Caenorhabditis elegans: one gene and its partner. The protein of the gene in region 1 purifies or fractionates together with the protein of each later gene. This does not show direct contact. Each region holds a gene or a part of one and is shown on either strand. Other genes may lie near its edges.

Region 1 (7,314 bases):
AGTTTTGCATTGTAAAACCAATCAAAACTTGTCGCCGTTCCTTTTTCGCTATGTTTTATACAAATCTGCGATACGAATTCGTATCGGTTGAAAGTGTGGGGATGAAGTGTGAAATGAAACAAAAAGTGTGATCACAAAGAATGGGACGAGAGGCCAGGAGGTACTCAAAACCCCCGCCAATTTTGTCCCATAAAAATTGGAGCGACGAAAGAGTATGGGAATGCAGTTTGAAATAGAAAAGTTGAACAATAGGTAGTATTCAGATTGACGCATTTTTTAAATGGAAATCAAAACTAAAAGAATCAAAATTTTGAAGAAACAGTACGGTATGCCTCTGAGGGTTGGTTGAGTGAATTCTAACTCATTAGAAAATTGCTGTCCTACTATTTTGAAAACAATAAAAGGGCTCCTTAGACTAAAATATGCTGAAAAGTACCTATCAAGTTTTAAATAAGTTTAAAAATTTTTGGAGATTTGCATTGTTTCACGGACTATATAATTGTACATGAAGCACTAATTTTAAATTGTGTGTTTAAGAATAATTTGTTAATTGAGAACAAATTCCATACTTGAAACACTCAATAAGAACGCACTCTAATGCATACAATAATTCTTTAAAAAAACTCCCAAGTTTTAATAATTGCTGACGAAGATGTTTTGGAAAACGTGATCTCCAAGTAATGAATGCTTGGCAATTACAAATAACTTTTTGAAATCAAAAGATTATATGTGGTTGTATTTCTCCATAAAAAAGTGGAATTGTGTGTAGGGTTTTCAAAAGATGAAAATAGGTTTGTTGTTATAACATGCATATGTAATATGACTATGAAACTGTGCTATTTTGCTAGTGTTAGTGATTTTGATGGTGACAAAGTGTTCTATTTTCGATAATTTTTTTTATTTTTCGTCTTTTCTCCTCGTTTAATTGTTGGAAATTACACATTTACATATTAAGTCTACTAAAATTCTTTCACATTTACATATTAAGTCTACTAAAATTTCTCCCATCCTATTTTTATTTAAACCAGTCGTTAAAAAAAATAGCTAAAATAAATCCAAATACGAAAAAAAGTTGAAAGTAAACTTTTGTAGAGTTTTTTGCGTGTCGAAGAACTTTGAAAATAGTAAAGTTTTGTGAAATGCGCAGAACAAAAACTGAAACTAAATGGGAACACACAAAAACACAAGAGAAGACGAACATCGACAAAAAAGTTGGTAGTAGCTGCTGGTTGGCGAGGAGAGGATAATATCCCGAACACGCCAATAGAATGAAGAGGGACAAAAAAGAACACAACAAGATGTCGATGCAAAGGACGAATTATTCCTTTTTTCCTTCCATTTTTGCCATTGCGTTCATTCGAAACAACTTCTGGAAAGGAGATTCCTAACAAAGTCAGGATTGAAAAGAACGACGTAGTACATATCTAGTGAATTTATTGGTTTTTTAAAATTGCATACACATATACCTTAATTTTTTTTATTATAAAACCCAAAAACGTCGCCTCTCATTTAAATTCTGTTTTCCAGTTACAATGTTTTTTTTAATTGAAAAAGAGTGAAATTACCGATATTTTAATTTTTGAAAACTTTTTGAAAGTTTTTATTTAAAATTAATTTTTGAGACGCACATCTGTGTGTTATTTTTTCTATTTTTGTATAGTTCATTTTCATCAGTATTTTTTTGTGTAGGGCCGAATAGCAAAACGCAGTTTTTTTCGAGTTGATAAAAAATATTTTCGAAAAGTATTTTAAAGTTTTTATTATGAAGACACGTTTTGGTTGTTGTTTTAATTTTCAATATGATTTAATAACAAAAATTACAATGTACAAATTCAGTTCATAGCCGGTATCACATTTTCCTCACACTGGTTCTCCGAAACAGATTCGAAATCGTCGATGCTCAAATTATCACTGCTTCCTCCTCCACCAGATATCCCACTATCACTATTATTTCTGCTTCCAGAAATATCATGCTGAGTTTTGAGGGTTTCCTTCAGTTTATTCCTTTCTTCTTGTCTGGAATGAGACTCCGTTTGAATTATTTGTTTTTCTTGATGGGCTCACTCACTTATACCAGAGACTTCCTCCATATTCACATGATGGAATTCCGGCTGCATTCGCAATGACTTGCTGAATTCTAGCAGCAAACAGAGAATTATTTTCATGTTCTTTTCGTACTTCCATAGCTAAAATTTTTTTAAAGGAATTTTACATAAAATACATCAAAAACTCACGAAGATATTGAATGTCATAGACAACTGCCCAGTTAAGCATAATTCGAACTAAGTATTGGAAAAATTCGTCTTCATACCAAAAGCCATCTCCAAACTCTGGGGATTGCCTTAAAAAATAGTGGTTATTACAAAAAAAATGTTGAAAATTGTATTAACCAAACAGCTAATAACTTTGAGACTCGTTACCTTTTACTTTCAGAAAACTTAAAAAAAAAAGGTAATCTAGGAGAAATTGCTACTAACTGTCAGAGAATAAAAAATTTTGACTTAAAAAAATTAAACTGATATCTTCACATATCTGCACAAAAAAATACAATTATTCTTAGAACTTTTTTTTTAAATTTTTGTTAGATTAAAAAACAGTTAAGTCAATTTGAACTGTCAGCTTTCAGTTTTCCGAGGTAAAATACTGAAAAATACTCACTTAATTGCAACTGGATAGATATTGACATTTTCTTCAAAAATAGCTTTTCTGAATTGCAGCACCTTGCTGTTGTTTGAACAATATCCTTCCGGAAATAGTAACACTGGTCCTTCTCGTTTAGCAATTTTCATAACTTCAGCCAGAAATCCCTGTCTCTCATTACTGCATTTTCTTTCCAACCAAAGTGATGGGCATAGTTTCTCAACCAAATGTTCAATGATTCCTAAGTACACAAAAAGTTAACAAACAACACGTAAATAACAATAAATACCAATGATTCCTTTGTGTTTTTGGCCAGTGACAACGTATCCATATGAGCTTCCGTGTGGTGTTCCAGCCCATAAAATTTGAATATCATTTGGGGTTAAATGATTCGAAACTGCAACTCCTGGTTTCTTGGGTCTGAATTGTGGGTTTCTGTAGTTGGCAACTAGTCCCATACTACCACAAAACAATCGACAGTATACGATAGCAACCCATGTTTTTTCACGATCCGATAGTGTCTGGAGTTTCAAGTTTGATGTACAGTAATTGTTCTATAAATGATGAAACTTACTCGGAATGCGGTTTGAAGTCCAGCAAGTGCAACAAAAACAAATGATGTGAGGAGTAGACAAACTCGCACAGGCATAAGGAAAAATATTCTGAAACCATTATAAAATTTAATGTTGAATAATATATTTGAATTAAATAATATGCAGATTAAATTTTGTTTCAACATTTACTGCGTTAACGTAAGAAAATTAGAAAAATTTTGATTTGCGAATTGCGTTCTATTTTTTTAAATATAAAATTTGTATTCAGTTTTACAAAACATAACTTTAAAACTGGAAACAAGTTCTCACCTAAAAATTAATCCGGCAAAGAAAATTGCCTTCTCTGTTGAATTCCAATTCTTCTCAGGCATCATGCCTAATAGAGTAGGCCGTATCGTAGGAGCTGTTTGAAAGCATGGTCCAAGATCAGTCTGTAATTAGTCCAAACAATTAACCAATAGATTATAAACTCAATGTTAACCCACATCAATTATCCTCTTCACTCGTTCTTCAGCAATTTGATCTGCCGATTTTTCACTCTGAAAAGTCAAAACATGAGTCACCGGAAGATCCAAATGTCGACTTCACTTACCCTTTGTTCTTCACTCTCTTCATTCTCATATGTGTTTTCAAGTTTTTCTCGTGGGAAATATCCTTGAATCATTGCAACCACGTGAAGATACCATTGTGGAAGCACTCCCCAGCTGATAACATGTTTGATTTTACACAACGTCAAGTGCGTCTACGACATACCTCAGACCAAAGAAAATAAGGACGACTGTTGAGAAGTAGGTCAGTGTTATACAACTGCCATAAAAGTAAAATATTGAAAGTAACATATCTGAAATTAAATTATGAGATGAAAATGTGATTTAGAAACCAAGAAAATCAATATAAACATTTTATAAAAAGAAAAAAAACGAAGGAGGCAAGTGGAAAGAAACAAAGTTTGTTTAACCAGACAGAGTCACTGAACTGTTGACCCTGTCTCAAATAAACCACAAAAACCACATGAATACACATTTATTCATGAAAATGATTCAAAAAATGGCTGTTCATAAAAGGTTGAAGGCGAGGAAAACTTAAAAATTTCAATGAAAAAGTATTGAGGGCGGGCACTTGAGATCTAATGGTCATTTGACAGTTGGTCTATCAATAATGATTGATAACCACTATTTTTAAACTGAAGATCAAAACTAACAATAATAAATTGTCATTGGGAGACCAAAATCACATTTTATGATTCAAACTAGAACGCAACAAAAGAAAATGAAGAAAAGAAGAGAAAACTTGCAAACTTAACATCAGTTGTCGCTAATAAATTACATATGAAGAGAGCACTTTGTAGGTTAGTCGTGGTCCGCATGAGCCGGTCGTACCAGGTTCACCTCCCCATTACACTCTCTCTCTCTCTCTCTCTCTCTGAGAAAATAAGAGGGTCATCTGAGATAACGTATGATGGTGGTCTCTTCTTCCCAGCACAGAAGATGGAGAGACCAAATGGGAGGCGGAGAATGTAAAAGGAATCGTTTTTCGGAGCTTTGAATTGGCACAATTATGAATTCAAGTCGGAGAATGTATGCTTCATAAAATTTCAATAGTCAAATAATTATAAATTGGAATAATGTGGAGAAACAGTTAATTCTAAAGCAGAAAAGTTTATGCTGAATTGTGTGTACAAAGTTCATAATGTTGTGAGAGAACAATTTCTCAAAAAAAGACGTCATATTTCGACTATCAGACTATGATGAAACATAAACTGAAACATGTTTTCTTAGAAAAAAATTTCAAAAAATTCTTTCTATAGGAAATGCTCAAGATTTTGGCATCTTCTTGACATCTAGCAATATATTTTAACTGTACAGCGATTTTCAAAGTCCAAAATATATTTAAAAAATATCGTTTTAAATACAATCTGTTCTTTATCTGAAAGATGTTCAATGCAGCAATCTCTAAAATTTACAATCAGTAATGCAAAGATCGGTTAAATTTTCAGATCATATTGATGAAACAAGACATTTGAATGAAACAAACCTCTAGAACAGTTTTAAAAGTGTATACAGGATTAAATATTCACAAATAGAAAGTTTCCGCAAAAATAAAAAATATTTACATTTATAGCACTTTCTTATCGCTAAGAACAACTGAAAAGAGAAAATGAAAATACTATTTACAAACATGAACAATGAAGGGTAAAACGTTTATTTTTCTATCAAGACAGACAATCTGACCCAGTAAAGATCCAAGGAGATGAGTGAGTCACCTGACCTTTTTATGATGTCAACATTTTCAGAGTGTCAAAATACCAGTTTTGTCACGTGATTACTAATGTCGTCCTTGTAAGGTTGGGTTCAAAGTTTTATTATCAAAATCTAGTTCAAAATTTCTATATTTTGCTATTGTAGGTTTAATTTGAAAACAAAGCAGACGTGATTGTGTGAAAATTGAAAGAAAAATTAAAAATTGCAAGATCACGGTCAAGACCTTTGCACATATAAAATTATTAAACAAAAGGAAAAGCCGCGTTGATTGTTCATAAAATCTAGGAAATTTCTTGATATTGAAAGCAACCCATATCTTATCATTCAAAAAGGTGCTCGGCACGAACTATCAAATTTTATTTGGGTCAAAGTTTGCAACTCAGTGCACATTTTAGACAGATTAGGAAGTGAGACTCTTGATAAGTTAACTGCCAAGAGGGAATAGTTAGTCAAACAAATAATAGAATAAATTTGTTATCTTTTTGGGAGAACTGAATTAATTTTTTTTTTTTTCAATTCGAGAAAAAATGATTTATCAGGAACAAAATAAATAAAGCTCTACTTTGATCATTTATTTAAAAAAAAACTCAAAATAATGTGATAAAACCAATTTCTTGGGAGTGCATGATTTTATATGACGTTACTTGCTTTATAGGACTGAATCCTAAGAGAGGGAACAATATTAATAGAGAAAATTAGGTAACTTTTCTGTTAAATTGTTTTAAAAAAATGTATTCCACCTTTTGTAATTTACAAGAATCATTCCATGTTAAACATATTCCCATTTTCAAGAACAAGTACGTTTGTTGTTTTTCCCTCACATTGATCTCTGGTGTATAGATGAAATAGCATCATTATTATTACTGTCAGAAGATGAGGATCAGTTGTTTGACATGTGCTTGTTTTGTTTGTCTATTTTGTGGAGTCAAAAACTGGAAAAAAAAACTTCTGATTGTTTTTCAAAAATTGTAATGGTTAAAAGTTCATCAGTCCAGAATTCACGTGAACGAGAAACAAATCAACAGTGTGAAGCAAAAACAGACATGAATCTTTGTCCTTGATAAAAATTTATAACTTTCAATTTATTTCTTAGCTACTGTAGTATAAATGCTTAACAAGAATGTTATTTGAGTACAACTGTACCTGGTATCAGTTTCGCACGTGTTAAGATTTTATGGATCATGAAAGAGATTACGGAGTTTAAAGGTTATTGCGAACAAATTTTGAAGACGTGAAATAAATTGAACAATAACTCATTTAAGCTGCGGATATTTTGAAATCACTACTGCAGTTCTCTCAAATTTAACTATGTTGAAATTAGCGCTTGATGAAAAATATCAAATTGATAATTTGCTAAGTAACGTTAGACTATTTGCTTAGACTACTTGTTTTGCAAGAAAACTATATTATAGGCCACTGGAAAAGTTAATAGTGTAATGCTTATGCATACAAGTAATAAGACTCAAGAACATTTCAAACATTAATCGTCAAAACTTAAAAAAAATATTATTTACGGTGTACTTTAAAATAAAATTTGAACATTTGAAAAATTTGAAAAATTGTATAAAATCATTGAAAATATATTCAGGAAGAAAATCAACACTATTGAGGATTCTAATAACAAAAATAGCTTCCACTCTCAGATGATTACCAAATTCTTCTATTAGACTACTTTAAAAAAAGTTACATTGCATTGAAATTTAATTTATCAGAACAAAACTGTCAAAAAGTACATAAAATGAACAAAATGATCAAATTGACAATCAGTTCAGCAGTGGAACGATAAACAAATATTTTCTACTCGTTCTCTATTTTATTAGGGAAGCACCAATTTTATTTTTGTTATTCTTTCCCGGAAT
Region 2 (7,488 bases), on another chromosome or scaffold:
CTGAAAAGGAGATCATCATCATGTGCAGCACGAACGAACGGATCTCGGACTTTATGCAGCTAAGTAATCGCTTGAACGTTGCAATGTCCCGTGCGAAGCAGGTCACAATCATTATTGGTCATTTGGATGGATTGAGAAGAGCCAATTATTGGAGCACAATTGTGAACAAAATTGAGCAAAATGGGAATTTGGTTAATGCAGTAAGTTTTTTATTTTTAAATTTTAATTTGGACTCAGTTTGAAATACTAAGTTCCGTTCAATATTGGTTATTGTTTTTAATTATTAGGTCTCCAAATAAGTTCCGGGTCAAAAATCATAACTTTGTTCGCTGCGAATCGATTTTTATGAAATTGTGGGAATTTATGTTATCAACCATGGTCTTTCATTTGACAATAGTCACAAAATTTTTTGGCCGTCCGAAGTGCCCGTACTCGGAGCCAATTTTTTCAGGCATTTTTCAGATCTCGCTTCTTTTCAGGTTTCAACTGAGGTTTGTGTGCGGATATTGCTTAGTTTAGTACACAATGTAAGAAAACAAGAAAAGTTTGAAAAAGAATCCGTCCAAAAAAAAATTTTTTGTCGTTCGTCAAAAAAATTTTGTCGAAAATTCTTGATTTTTCATACAAAAATGACGTAACCATGTGCAAACTATTTTTACACATACAAAAAAAATTCAATTTAGTGCGTCACACTAAAAAATAACAAAAAACACAGCTCTTTCGAACTATTTTCGAGTTTTTGGAGTATTTCTCGAGATCCAAATTTCATACTCAAATGTTTTGTATGTGTAAAAATAGTTTGCACATGGTTACATCATTTTTGTATAAAAATTCAAGAATTTTCGACAAAAATTTTTTTGTAGATTTTTTGACGAGCGACAAAAAAAATTTTTTTGGACGGATTTTTTTTTCAAACTTTTCTTGTTTTCTTACATTGTGTACTAAATTAAGCAATATCCGCACACAAACCTCAGTTGAAACCTGAAAAGAAGCAAGATCTGAAAAATGCCTGAAAAAATTGGCTCCGAGTACGGGCACTTCGGACGGCCAAAAAATTTTGTGACTATTGTCAAATGAAAGATCATGGTTGATAACATAAATTCCCACAATTTCAGAAAAATCGATTCGCAGCAAACAAAGTTATGTTTTTTGACCCGGAACTTACTTGGAGACCTAATAGTTTGATAGTGTTTTGAAGGGCTTGCGGAGCTTGTATAACTTAGTAGATCAAACTGAGACTACGCCTCACTAATATTATTTTTATGAATTACTGAAATTTGCTTTCAGAATGACTGGTATCAAAATCAACGAAGAAATAAGGTATCATTGTCATCGTATCCACTAATTTCAACATCACGACAATCGAAACAACAACGTGCCAATGAATATAATTCACAACACAAACACGTTAAAAGACAAAGTAACAATGATTACGGTAGCCAACGGAGCGTGACTAACTCATTGAATCCAGAATTTGTTGGGGTAAGCAGGGCATTCATTATTTGCCATTTTTTAATGTTTAAAAGTTTATATCATCGCAGTAAAAGTAACTTTTACATACTGTAATCCAAACATTGACTGATCTAATCCGATAATAGTTTCAGAAATGGGATGACGAGACGTATGGAGATTGGCCCACCATCCAGAAATCAACATAAATATCCAATTTTAGTCTTCTACTAGTTGTTTTTACCGTTTGTATTCATATCAAATTTTCATGATGATCTTTTGTTTCCATCTCCAAGCTTTCACTTTTTGGTTGTTTTAATTTTTTTTTTCTGTTGAAATTGAGTGTTTTTTTTCTGTTGAAATTGAGTGTTCCATTTTTATATGAAATGGATTTTGTCTGTCTTGGAAATTCTTTTGAAGACATTGAATCACAGAAGAATGTTTAAACATTTTCAGAAATTGTACGGAAAAAGTTGGGACCAAGAGAATTATGGTAAAATAAAACTTGTAATATGTATTACAATTTAGAAATAAAAAACTATAAATTTTCAAAGTTGGTTTTAAGTGCGTACAATATAATAGCCATTAAAAAGATATAGAGTAACCATGAAGAAAAATTCAACTAATACCTTTATTTTTCTAATTGAGAACTAACAGTTCAAATCCTTTAATGGATACTTTACAAATTAACTGTTGTTTTTGTTGGTAGGACTATTCACGAACGAACTAAAAAACGCATTAAATGGCTCTGCCAACTTTAGTCAAATTTTTTAACAGATTAATGCTTTTTGCAAACTCTCGCTATGCATTGGCGGTGAGAGACGCAGATAATACTTTTTTCTCTGGACGTGAAAAACACAAAGGATAACCGTTTTGCCATCTGCGTCTCTTCTTTCACACGCTATTTTGGCGGTGGACGAGGAATTCTCCTCTTCCAGGATTTTCAAGGCCATTTGCTCACATTTCTCAAGTTTTCTTGTCCGCGAGAAAACATGAATTTTGAGGCAGCCAGCGAGCACGTGCCAAAAATTTTTGGTAAACTTCGCCCTGTGCCAAGACCTAATCAGGATGTGCCTAACGCCTGCCCAAGATCTGGAAAACGCAAAAAAATATATCTGGAAAAAATACTAAAAACTAAAAACATGAATAGTTCTGACAGAGACTGTTTCATGAATTTTGCAACATTCGATAAATGGTACTTTCAAAAGTGCTCAAAGATCACGGCCATGGTCACAAACTTTTAGATAGCATATATTTCGACTTTAGACCAGAATTGATAAAATATCCATTCGATAAGAAAAAATGTTGCAGACCTAGTTTGTTTACATATTCTTTCACACCAATTTTATGAGTTCAGTCTATCATCACTCTGAAAAGTACATGGCTTTATCATGTAATCACGAGAAAATCGAAACGCGGGATAGTTATATCTATTAAACTGACCATATTTTTATTCATTTTCTATCTGAAGATATGATTTTGAAACAATTTTTATGGTTTTTTTAACGAGCTCAACTCTTTAAATAGGTTGTTCTGATATAGGAACATTTGTAGATCAAAAATTATGATGATCTCAATTTTCAGTCTGTTGGCTTCAACAGCCATTTTGGTATTTGCTAATGGGCAGAGCAATGTCAAATTGGAGTTTGTTCAAGCGGTAAGTTATATGAAATCCTAAATGCCAAATTTAGTCCTCAGTGAAAGTTACTTGGGTAGTACAATTTATTTTTAATTATTTCAAGATGTGGAGACACGGAGAACGTGCATCTCAAGTTGATCAATACCCAATTTACGAAAAAGATTGGATTTATGGAGGAGGTGGTCTCGGAGAGCTGACTGCAATTGGAATGGGAGAAATGAACGAACTTGGATGGCTTATTCGTAAAAGATATGTTACTAAATTGAAGTTTTTGACACCAAAGTATGCGTCCAGAGAGGTATACCCTAAAAATGTTAGAACGTGCCAAAATATGATTATTTCCAGGTATATTTTAGATCAACTAATTTCAATCGTACCATTATTTCGGCACAATCACTTTTGTACGGGCTGTTTCCACCAAGCTTGTATGATGTCAAAAGTAGGTTGTCAAAAAATTGATTAAATTTTTTATGCCAAACGGTTCAAACTTAAAGCCAATATGACTTTTTCTGTTGAACGAATAGATAAATTTAGTCCAGTGATATCTTTACTTTTTAATTTTTCATATTGAAATTGTCTGCACGTCTCTTATAAAATTAGCAAAAATCCAACTATTATATTACCTCTAATGCATTAGTTTTGATGATTACCATATTCAGACGTTGACTATCCATACTCCCCACTCACTTGGTTCCCTGGATTCACGTTTGTTCCAGTTCACGTCGATGGTCCGGATCAGTGTGTATGTTGTAAATTTACATTGGTTCTCGAGTAGTCTTAAATAATCTTACTGCGCGTGCCAGTTAAAATTACAAAATTATTACAAACCTTTCCAGGCCGCTAGTCAGAACTGTCCATGCACAAGATACGATCTTCTCCAAGGGCAGATGTTGACTCTTCCGGAAGTTTTGCCAAAGTATACGCAGGTAAGGTTTGATTGAATTATACTATCATCGGTAACCGTATTCACGTTGTGATGGCTTTGTCGGTAACTATGAACAGGCGCCTAAAATGCCTGCCTTCCGCCTAGACGCTTGCCTACTAGTAGACCTACTGTCAAGTTTTTCGTGAACGATTGTTCATTTATCATTCGATCAAATGCGTAAAGCTACAATATGTGAATCTCAAATATTGTAGTTTAAATCCTGACTGCCTGAATGTAGAAAATAGACGGTAGGCAGGCACGTGCCTCCTCTGAATTTCAATTTTTAGGTGGTCCTACTTAACCGTCGTGTCGGTGGATATTACAACATGACATCTGGCCTAGACTCCTTCACAACATACCCAGATACGTGGAAATGCCAGAGAGCATATTTCAACAGAACTATGTACGCGAAGCTTCCATGGTACAATGAAGAACTCTACTATCAAGCCCAAGTTACATATGCTCCGGTTAAGGGATTTTTAGAGGGAAATTTTGGTTAGTTGGGACGAGATTAAAGTCTCAGTGAAGCTTGGTTTCAGAGAATCCTGCTGTCACTTCTTCCGGGCTCGATGTGGGTCTTGAAATCAAAAAAGTTCGATCCGGAGTTATTATCAATGAAGTTTTCAATCGTGCCAATGAAAAATTGAATTGTGCAGAGCTGGGACAAAACTGCACTAGCTATTTGAATAAGCTGAAATTCTATGGATATTCTATTGTAAGAGATTTTAAAGTTTACTCCATAATTTAAGTTCAAAAATGCATGATATCTAGCCACGATCTTACCGTAGTTGGGAATACGGTAGACTACGGTAGTATTACTGTACTTGACTGGAAGTTAAGTATACCATCATAGTAGGTAGGAATCTGTTCATCCCTAGCTACCTCTGCCTACCTCATGCCGAGGCACCAGTCAAGGCTTGTCGGAATGTAGGCAAGCATTGTAGGTAACTCTAAGAAATTGAAATATAAAAAAAAAGAAAAGAAAAGCTAGTTACTTTTCATGCGAATTTTTTCAGGATTTTCAGAAAAAAAAATTTTGACAAAAAAAATGTTTTTTTTAATTTTTGAAATCAATTTTCCAAGATCTCACAACAAATTCGTTTTCCAGCATGACAACAATGTGTACGGTGTCCTGGTTGCTCTTGGTATTCCACAAATCGCTAACACACTTGACGGATGGCCAGCATACGCAGCTGGAATATTTATGGAATTCCACAGAAACACGTCAACAAACGAGAGATTCTTCAAGGTATTCCAGAGAGAAACCAGAAAATTCGAACAATTAAATTTTCAGGTTCTGTACCGTGAAGGAGATGACACTCCGATTTCTGATGTGACAAGTCAACTTCCAATTTGTAATGGAGCCACCTTGTGTCCACTTGGAGCTCTTCAGACTTTGGCCGAGACACTGAAGCCACTTCCAGATATTACTACTGTAAGCTCTTGTTTCCAAAAATTTCGACTTTATAAAAAATTTTCAGCTCTGCAAAACTCCTCTATGAATTACTGGAACTGTAATTTTTGTTGTAACTCAATTTTTATATTTTTTTATGAACTATTTCATTAAAACTCTTTTTGTTCACACAATCCTAAACCGGTATTATAGGCAAAAGACAAAAAAGTAACAAACAACGGACTAAAGAAGTATTTACACATTTCACGGAAATTTGTCAAAATTGACAAATTATCCTTGATTAAGAGGAGCCTGTCCCATTGGCTTCAGATTTTCGGAAATTTCGAATTTGCAAGCGGTGAGTTTCTTGATATCATCTACAGTAAGATCCTTCCTGACTTCGATCAATGTCAATCCGTTCTTTGTGTCCACGTCGAAAACTGCCATATCAGTAATGATTCGGGAAATTACTCCTTTGCCGGTCAGAGGAAGTTCGCAGTGCTCTAGAATTTTTGGCTCTCCGTTCTTCGATACATGCTCCATTACAACGATCACACGGGCTCCGGGAGCAGAGACAAGATCCATTGCACCGCCCATTCCTTTCACCAATTTTCCCTGGAAAATTTTAGAAATTTATTAAGATGGAAGATTAAGCGGAAAAGTATATTTTTATGAAGTTGTCTAAATTTTTTGTTTTTGGGGGTTTTTCGTTTTTTTTTTAAAGTTTTTTCGGACCAACAAAATAAATTCAGATATATATTTAAGAAATAAAATCAAGATTTTTTGGAGTTTTGTAGAATTAATATTTTTAATCAAAAAATTATTTTTATTGAGACTAGATCTGGCCAAAATTGTTCGGTTAATAATTTTCGATCAGTCTATGTGCTGCGTGCATTTTATTTAATTTGAGTTGCTTATCTTTTTTAGTTGAAACTTCGAGCGTTTTTAGACATCACTGATAAATAATTTCAGATCACTGATCATATTTATCTTATCACTCGGTCGATTAAAACACAAAGAACGAATTATCAGTGATCTATTTTTTCTCAAAGCTCACCGGAATCATCCAATTCGCTAAATCTCCAAACTGTGAGCACTGAAGTGCACCGAGCACAGTAATATCCATATGAGAACCACGAATCATTGCGAATGATTCATCAGAACCAACAATTGAAGCTCCTTTGAGAAGAGTAATTGGCTCTTTTCCAGCATTAATGAGATCGGCGTCTTCTGTTCCTTTTCTTGGATATGGTCCCTGAAAAACAAAAATGAAAATAAAAATAATTAATTTAAATTTCCTTACCACTCCAATAATACCATTCTCACTTTGCAAATGAACAGTAAATCCATTTGGTATATAATTTGGCGCCAAAGTCGGAATCCCGATACCCAAATTGGCGTACATTCCATCTGTGAACTCCAAAGCTGCACGTGCTGCAATGATTTCTCTCGATTTTCCAGCAGCCGATGTAGATGGTTTTATTGGTCCTTCGTGTGCGAACATTGGCCGTTCGATTGGTTTTTTGTAGTTCTTTCCCAAAACTAGACGATGACAATAGATTGATGGAATGTGCACATCGTTTGGAGCAATTACTCCCGGTTCGACGATTTCCTCTACTTCGACGATGGTGCATTTAGAGGCTTTGCACATTGGATTATTGAAATTTCCAGCAGCATGTCTGAAATTTTGATTTTTGTTGTTGTTGTAATTTTTCAAAAATGATTTTTTAATTTTTTTAATTCTTACCTGAATTGAATATTTCCAAGAGTATCTGCTCTCCACGCCTTGATCAATGCAAAATCTCCCCAAATAGCCTCTTCCATTACATAATTAATTCCATTGAATTGTCGTGTTTCTTTCGCTTTACTTGCAACTTCAATCTTTCCTTTTTCAGTTTTACTGTACTTAATCGGAGCACCTCCTTCTTGAATCTGGGTACCGTATCCTGTTGGTGTGTAGAATGCGGGAACACCGGCACCAGCTGCACGAATTCGTTCGGCGAGTGTTCCTTGTGGTGTGAATTCCAACTCGAGCTCTCCGCTAAGATATTGTCGAGCAAATTCTCCGTTTTCACCGACGTA

The links. Proteins that work in one complex are often made in the same cells at the same time.
Region 2: the proteins of M79.2 (region 1) and pho-11 fractionate together in Caenorhabditis elegans (co-fractionation; one large-scale study listed by BioGRID). This does not show direct contact.

Annotation. Positions count from the first base shown.
Region 1 is NC_003284.9:10,624,773-10,632,086, forward strand, and holds M79.2 (Phospholipid/glycerol acyltransferase domain-containing protein), read right to left. Parts: upstream 4,036-7,314; 5' UTR 4,034-4,035; coding exon 3,948-4,033; intron 3,899-3,947; coding exon 3,787-3,898; intron 3,734-3,786; coding exon 3,680-3,733; intron 3,626-3,679; coding exon 3,504-3,625; intron 3,303-3,503; coding exon 3,215-3,302; intron 3,162-3,214; coding exon 2,930-3,161; intron 2,882-2,929; coding exon 2,659-2,881; intron 2,342-2,658; coding exon 2,235-2,341; intron 2,187-2,234; coding exon 2,069-2,186; intron 2,017-2,068; coding exon 1,833-2,016; 3' UTR 1,746-1,832; downstream 1-1,745.
Region 2 is NC_003280.10:9,928,850-9,936,337, forward strand, and holds pho-11 (Putative acid phosphatase 11), read left to right. Parts: upstream 1-2,999; 5' UTR 3,000-3,013; coding exon 3,014-3,106; intron 3,107-3,191; coding exon 3,192-3,386; intron 3,387-3,433; coding exon 3,434-3,527; intron 3,528-3,747; coding exon 3,748-3,830; intron 3,831-3,924; coding exon 3,925-4,014; intron 4,015-4,300; coding exon 4,301-4,508; intron 4,509-4,552; coding exon 4,553-4,728; intron 4,729-5,121; coding exon 5,122-5,262; intron 5,263-5,307; coding exon 5,308-5,448; intron 5,449-5,494; coding exon 5,495-5,515; 3' UTR 5,516-5,582; downstream 5,583-7,488. Other genes in the region: C05C10.2 (DNA2/NAM7 helicase-like C-terminal domain-containing protein), read left to right, coding at 1-200, 1,288-1,482, 1,599-1,658; C05C10.3 (putative succinyl-CoA:3-ketoacid coenzyme A transferase, mitochondrial), read right to left, coding at 5,698-6,021, 6,464-6,661, 6,710-7,085, 7,154-7,488.